2 linked regions of the Drosophila melanogaster genome follow. The protein of the gene in region 1 interacts with the protein of each later gene in a pairwise test. Each region holds a gene or a part of one and is shown on either strand. Other genes may lie near its edges.

Region 1 (3,755 bases):
TGCGTGTGTGTGTGTGTGTGTGTGGCTGGCACAGCTCTAGCCTAGTTGGGCAGCAGCTCGGACAGCTGATTCTGCAGACTGGGTGCCAGTGTGTCGGGAAACTTAATGTCGAAGGAGACGATCAGATCGCCGCGCCTCGATGGCTCCTTGGGCACCGGCAGACCCAGTCCGTTGATCCGGCGCGTTGTGGTGGGCTTGATGATCTCGTGGTTCGGATTCACCTGTATCCTGCTGCCCTGCAGCGTGGGCACACTAACCAGTGCTCCGCACAAGGCCTGCTTCAGACTGATCTGGGCTGTATACTTTAGATCGATTCCCTCGCGTTTGAACAGCGAATGCGGTTTGTCGCGAATGATGAAGACGATGTCAGCTGGCGTCTTGTTTGGCGCCGAATCACCCTCTTGGGGGAAGGTAATCTTGGTACCGGCCTTCCAGCCCGGCTTCACTGTGATCCTCAGCACCTTCTCCTCCTTGTACGGCCCATTGCTTCCGGTGGCCATGCGTGAGATTTTCATCTTCTTGATGCATCCCTTGTCCACTTCCTCCAGCGACACGAACAGATCATGCTCGATGGGCGGATCCTGCTGGCGCTTGCGACTGGGTGCCTGGGCATTAAAGGCAAACATATCGTCGCCGCCAATGTTCCAGAAGATCTCGTTGGTATTGCCGCCCTGACCGCCACTAAACATGTTATCGCCGCCGGTAAAGAACGCGCCAAACGGATCCGACGATCCAAAGAACTGGGCAAATGTGGCCCTCGGATCGCCGTGGAACTGGTAAGTGTACGCTCCCGGCTGACCGCCGCCATCTGGTCCCGGCTGTCCGCCCTTCAATCCATCCTCACCGTAATTGTCGAAGATGTCGCGCTTCTTTTTGTCCGACAGCACCTCGTACGCCTCGGCGATCTCCTTGAAGCGCTCCTCCGCCTGTGGGCTCTTGTTCTTGTCGGGATGGTATTTGAGTGCCAGTTTGCGGTAGGCCTTCTTGATCTCATCGTCGCTGGCCTTGCGCTCGAGGCCCAGAATCTTGTAGAAGTCTTTGCCCATCTCTCAGCTGAAAATATAGGGGAAACACAAACGAACGAACGCTATAGATTAGAATGAATACTGATTGCCAGCTTGCTGGGTTGGGGCGATGGAAAGTGCTAGAAGCACAGAACAGCACAGTTGTGCAACTGCCGTGTTGTCACGCGAGTGACGTATGTAGTCACCATCAACGAGAGCTCCGCTCCCGATGTGCTTCTTTCAGCAGATCAAATCGATGCGCCCACATGTGGCAATATGTCCAACGAAGCTTACCTTAAATGTAAGCGATTGTCTGGGAATCCGTAAAAGTTCAAAAATCCAAGTGGAAAAGTGCAAAATGCAATGGCAAAGTGCAATTGTTGGTATTGTTCACTGTGTATTCACACTATTTATATTTTCACGGGGCAATGTTCTTTAAATATTTATGAGTTTTGTCTCTTTCTCGCAATTGATTCAATTCAATTGTTCTTCTTCGCTTTTTTCTTTATCCACCAAATGTGGCTTGCGCACTAAAAACACACCCTACTTCAGAGTTTCTTTCTCTTCAAAATTTTGTTTAATAATGAGCGGGATTCGTGCGTCAACCTCATTTTATAGGTTCGCCCTCGTCTACGTCGAAATTTCTGGATGCTTCTCGGATTTTAGGGTTGTATCTCGAAAACGTTTGACTGCGAATGTCAATATCGATATGCTAACCGATAGCTGTCGATGTTTTAAACACAGTGCACTGTTTTTAAATCGCTCCCCATTTATATATATTTGTGCATGCTTTTGGCGGTGACTCTTCTTTATATGCTTCTTATGCTTTTACGATTATTATTAGCGCTTATTTGATTGCAAATGCCAAGGAAAGCGTGACTGTGATGGCGAAATGCGGAAAGTACTCCTTAAATCTCATATATCGCATAAAACTATCGGTTCTGGAATGTTTCGTGTAAGTCTGCGAAGATAGAGATCGATCTATTTTGAGGATACATTTGTTAATATTATAAGGGATTCTTCTACAGGGGTCAGATTGCTTAAAAACACACAGAAAAATAAACAAAATATTTCTTTGAAATATTGAAATATTTGAAATAGAAAAAACGTATTGACGAGGTAAGCATATTGTAAAAAGATAGGAAGGTGATGGAGAAAGTTGCACTTATATTGTTCAACCAAAGAGCTTATAATCAAAAGATCAATAGATATAAATATCTTTATATGATATAAAATATAATACATATAATATATTATAATATACAATGTATAAATTGCAAGTGTCAAATTGAATTCTTAGTGTAATATTCAAGCCAACGAAAAGTAACTGAAAGTTGAAATAAATAAATTTTTAAACTTTGCCAGTGTGACCGTAAGACCAAGACTTGGGCATTGCCACAGCTGCAATGCGTTTAGTATTTTACAGTCAGCGGCGGGCAGTCACACCGGAACGAGCACGTCTGGTAAAACAGCCGAACGGAACAACAAAAAACAATTGTAAAAATGACCCGTCGAGGCTCGTTTTAAGCGAATTTCTAGCGCAGTCAGGACGCAGGAGCAGCCGAGCAGGCCGGGATTAGGACCGGAGGAGCAGGATCATCGGGAGAGTAGAGCCGAAACCCACACTCACACACAAACGCAGCCGTATACCGCAGTATTTTCATACACACACACACACTTGAGGTGAGTGAGACGGAGGTACACACACATGCACACATACAGAGAGAAGAAAACAAGGCGCCCCACGAATTTTTGCAAAATATGGACGCGCCTTGCTAGGGACTAATTGCCAGCGCGAAGGACAACCATTGGGGCCACTTTTTGGGCCAAACTCCGGCCGACATATGCGTGTCACGTTCCACAGTCGAAGCCTTGACCGATCGCCCCGCCCACCGTTCACCGCCCCATCGCTGGAAGTATTGCGCAAACGAATGTGACCCTTAACCCTTGCCCCCCCCCCCCCTTCCACAAAGAATATCCTTTGGCATGGCGCCTGTTCAAAGGATGTCCCACTGCAGCAATGCAGCATTGTAGCAGCGACGGCAGACCCATAAAAATAGTCATTCATTCCCGCAAATAGAGAGCTGGCACATCGAAGAGAGCATACGGTCGACATTAATAGCACTTTCGCTGTAAACCCAAACATATCGCCTATATTCATTGAGTAATCCGTCTGGGTTCTAGGGACCCAAAAGTTCCCCCCAGTGAAATACCCACCCACTGCATTGTGCGGCGATAATCGTTATCAGTTGCAACTCGTGAGTGGTCATTGATATTCGCAAAAGGCAACTGGACAATGTTTGATTGTTATCAGACCCCTGATTGTAACCCAGTCAATAGCTTACATTACTCCCCATTATCCTGTTATTTGTTTAAAACAAGTGGCTTGGGTACTGTTGCAATCCGTGTATCTGTATTCATGTTCTTATCGCACCCCGAAGTTATAGAAGCTATATAAAAGTATTGTTTTCCTATTGAAGTGTAAGCCAGATAAGTAAACTGTTTCTCATTGTTATAGTACATCACGCCGAGAACTTAACACGTAGCTCGCTTCGCCAAAGATCGGGCGCCAGATCGGGTGGTGTATCTTCGGATCGCAATCGGAATCGGCATCGGCATCCTAAGCGGCCAGTACACGCGTGAACTATGCCGTGCGTTGACGGTGCGGTCTTCTAGTTCGGAAAGATTTCGGCACACTCAGTTCCGACACAGACGGTAAAACTCACCAAAATCCGTTGCATATATAGACCA
Region 2 (3,755 bases), 9.8 Mb from region 1:
AGAATCACTGTCACTTACCTTCGCTCATGTTCTGCATCATTTCGTTGCTCTTGATCAGATCCATGGACATCAGAAGGTAGTCTTTCTTCTCCTGCAGGTTGAGTGCATCCTTGCGCAGCTTCTCCACACGTGCATCCAAACTATCCAGTATGGTGACAAATCTGCGAGTCACTCAAAGGTTAGTCACGCTCAGTGGTTATTATAAATTCAAGATTTACCTCTCGCTGGCGTTAAATGGTCTGTCACATGTCGGTTAAGTGTGATTGCGGTTCAGTGGTTAAGTCATGAAACGAGACAAGCAACGTTAGATTGTTAGATCGCTCTGCTACAGATCGACTGACCACTTATAGAGCTACGAAATTATAACCAGAATATGTCTACAAGAAAAGGCGCTCGCACACAAAGCTCTTTTGAGAGTTGTGTGGGCGTTCGCGGCAGATACTTTAAGCTATCACCATTACTATTATGGAACAAAAGATTCGAATGAAGCTGGTAGCTGGTAGTGTGAAGAAATAATAGATAAGAAACGTATAACTTTTGTTTCGCTACGAGGTTGTGTGAATATAATCGGTGGTATTGTTTTGGTTTCGTGTCTGATTTGGTTTTAGTTATGATGGAATAACAACCTGTCCAGAGCTCTACTATCGTCGACGAGTCCGTAGGAGCTGTTCCCGCCATTGCCACCACCTCCGGATCCGGATGGGGATGAGGAGGCCATGGCATCGGCCCTCAGGTCTTGCAAATGATCAAAATTCATGGATGCCTCCGAGTGGTAATCGCTGGGCGAGATCTGATGCAGCTGCTGGTGATAAGTACTATGGTGATGATGATGAGTGTCACTGGTTTCCTGCGTTGTTGGCGCATCAACTTCCATATCCTGCGGCTGCTCCAGATTTGATTTAAACCTGTCGCCCTCCAAAAAGCCGGTCAAGTGTTTGTCACCCAAGATGGTTGGATAGCTGCCTACTGTTTCGTTTTGGGTTTTGGTTTTATCTTATTTATTTTTTTTTAGCCGCTTTGCTGGCTACTTTTTTTGGAATGTCTTAAGCTTTTTTTTTCGAGTGGGTGTCGAAGTGTTTGATGCTGTTGCTTAAGCTTAATTTTATCTGTTTTTGCTTTGAAGCTGCAATAAGAGAGAAGAGGAAGCGTGAATGCGCAGAATTCAATTACCTATCTGAATGTGGGCTGTGAAAAGAGCCTTCGGTCCAGGAGGCGTCAAAGCCATCATTGGACTCGGGCGTATCGGCTTCTATATCTTCCGGATATCGGTTTATTATCTCCGCCTCCTGGGCGGGTTGCGGCGGCGGTGGCGGCGGTGTTGTGTCCGACTCGCAGCGACGCCGTTTCCGAAAAATACCTCGAAAATTCTCAAACATTCTCGGCTGAAATCACCAATTTTCTAGAAGATTACGCCTAATTCTTCTTCTTTTCTTGTGGCAACCGATGTCTAGGAGAATCCCCGGGTGGCTGTTTTGAACTTGAATAAATTACCTGCCGCCCGAGACTTGAGGCTCCGGTTTTAATGCACCTTTGGCCCGATGCAAAAATATTGTTGATTTTTCGAGTTGGGCAGTTTGAGTTAGATGACGGGAAATGCTTGTGTTTCCAGATAATTCGTAGACACCGATTAATCTAACTTTGTTAGCTTCATTTTTGAGCACCTGGGTTGTTTACTTCGAGGGTCAATCGAATATTTCGCTTTACTTAAATGAAGATAAGTATAAATATGATTAATTTAACATTATATTGTGGGATTTGTATGACCGTGTCTGACTACCGCAAAAAAGAACAGTGGCCATATAGTCAACTTTATCGAAACCGATTCATCGAACATTGTTGTCGAAAGTTAGTGTGTACACACATTAGTTCTGGTTTTCATCTGTAATCGGCGGGAGTTTTAAAAGTAGTAGTACTTTTAAAAGAAACCTCTCTAAAAGCATTTGGTATCTCCCAAAGTTCAAAAAATTGTATGCTACATATATTAAAACTTCTATTTTATTAGTGGTGCCAAATTTAAATCTCGCACACACTGAGCCGTGCGCGACCATTGACAACTTTTGGTGGCAATATCGAAGAAGTAATAGAAAGGACATTGCTGCAGGCTGGCGTGTCCTTTGACGCAGTAGATAAAGAACTCGCATCGCTGCATATGGGGATACAGATGCTGTCCGTAGGCGGGGCAGTGAATGAGATCACTCGAAATGGCGGTGCCACCGGATGGGAAACCGGAATTTCCATTCGTTGGCATATCCTCCTGACCACCTACGGTGCACTGGGCTCTCTCCGGAATATCGCATTTACCCGTCATTGCATTCCAGTGCAATTGCGAGCTGCACTCCTGCAAGATCGCCTGTCCATAGTAGCAAATATAGTACTTTCTGCAACTACTCGAGCTGCCGACATATACAATCCTGTCGCTGGATTGTTGTTGCTCCACCAACGTGGAGCAATAAGTGGCGGCATCCGTGACCATGTTATTCGGATCTCCATCACCATTTCCGCCATCGAATGGAGGAGTCTCTATGGGATCCGTTTCATTTCTGCACTTTACATTTGTCGCCGAATCGCAGAGTCTGCTCTCCGAATTGAAGAGCATCGTTGGTGGGCAGGAAGCCAGGACTGCATCCCCGTTCTCAACGCACAGGTAAAACATGTGGCAGTCCTCCGCATGCTCCACAAACTCACCAACCAAATGATTGGCACATATTCTACTACCACTCTGCCTGATGGTCACCGAGTTTGTGGGCTTCGATGGTCTCCAGGTTAATTGCGCTGTGGCCAGCAAGCAGTTCACGATCAAATAGAAAGCTGGAAACCAATAAATTCTCATCATACTATTAGTTTTGAGAATATCCATCTTACTAACCCGTATTAAGCATCATCGTTTTTTCTATCGTCAGACTCCAGTAGAGCGCAGTTATATTCTAATTTCGTAATGCCCGGTGAACTTGGCATATATGTGATACATTCGGCGCCAAGATACAGCCGCATATGTGGCTCAGTATCAGAAAATTAACATTTTCAATTGCTTGTAGGAAGAAGTTGATAAGACTCCTGTATTTTGTTTTGCCAAAAAAGAAATATGGCTCCCTTTCCTCGCAATCAATCGATATCGTATCTCGAAATGGCAAGCAGATACAACTTTAATGCTGGATTTTTAATTTTAAAGTCTGGTGAAAAGGAAGCCGAGATTAGCTAGGAAATTGATTAGGTGATATCACGATGACATATGTTGTCCTTGTGAGGAAAATCGTATCATATCGGTCAAATTACTATGTTTCAAATCGAAGGTTGGCCTATTTTGGCAAATGTTTCGATTCAAGGTCTTCATTTTGCAGAGATATGAAAGAATTGCTTGATATCACCTGATAAATTTAGGAAAGAGTCAAGGTCGGCCGTGTTGCTTGATAGTTTTACAAAGAAGTCTTATTGATTACCAGTATTTAGGTTTATTCCATATGTAAACATACAACACTTTATGTTCAATATTTTCAATTTTTCCACAAAGCTCGTTAATTAACTAAATGTAAAATTTCGTTTTTTTTTTTTAATAAATATTATTATGTGTATTTAATAAATTTTCATTTGCATTTGCAGCTTGTTGTAGCATTTGGCTTGACCTAGTGCTACACAGGATCGCTTCTCGTAGTCCCATCCGTAGAAGAAAGGACACTGCTGGACCATCAAATAGCCAGAGCGACACTGGTAAAAGTAATTGCAGTTGTCGGAATGCGGATAAACATCGATTACATGTC

The links. The genes of interacting proteins can lie anywhere in the genome.
Region 2: the proteins of DnaJ-1 (region 1) and CG7945 interact in a two-hybrid assay, tested with the Drosophila melanogaster proteins (2 studies listed by BioGRID).

Annotation. Positions count from the first base shown.
Region 1 is NT_037436.4:5,750,548-5,754,302, forward strand, and holds the start of DnaJ-1 (DnaJ-like-1), read right to left. Parts: upstream 1,643-3,755; 5' UTR 1,047-1,642; coding exon 42-1,046; 3' UTR 1-41.
Region 2 is NT_037436.4:15,522,342-15,526,096, forward strand, and holds the start of CG7945 (uncharacterized protein), read right to left. Parts: upstream 1,797-3,755; 5' UTR 1,492-1,796; exon of another isoform or gene 1,377-1,491; coding exon of another isoform or gene 1,171-1,376; intron 1,124-1,170; 5' UTR 875-1,123; coding exon 627-874; intron 240-626; coding exon 219-239; intron 162-218; coding exon 19-161; intron 1-18. Other genes in the region: CG33986 (uncharacterized protein), read right to left, coding at 1,991-2,808, 2,867-2,882; CG33985 (uncharacterized protein), read right to left, coding at 3,571-3,755.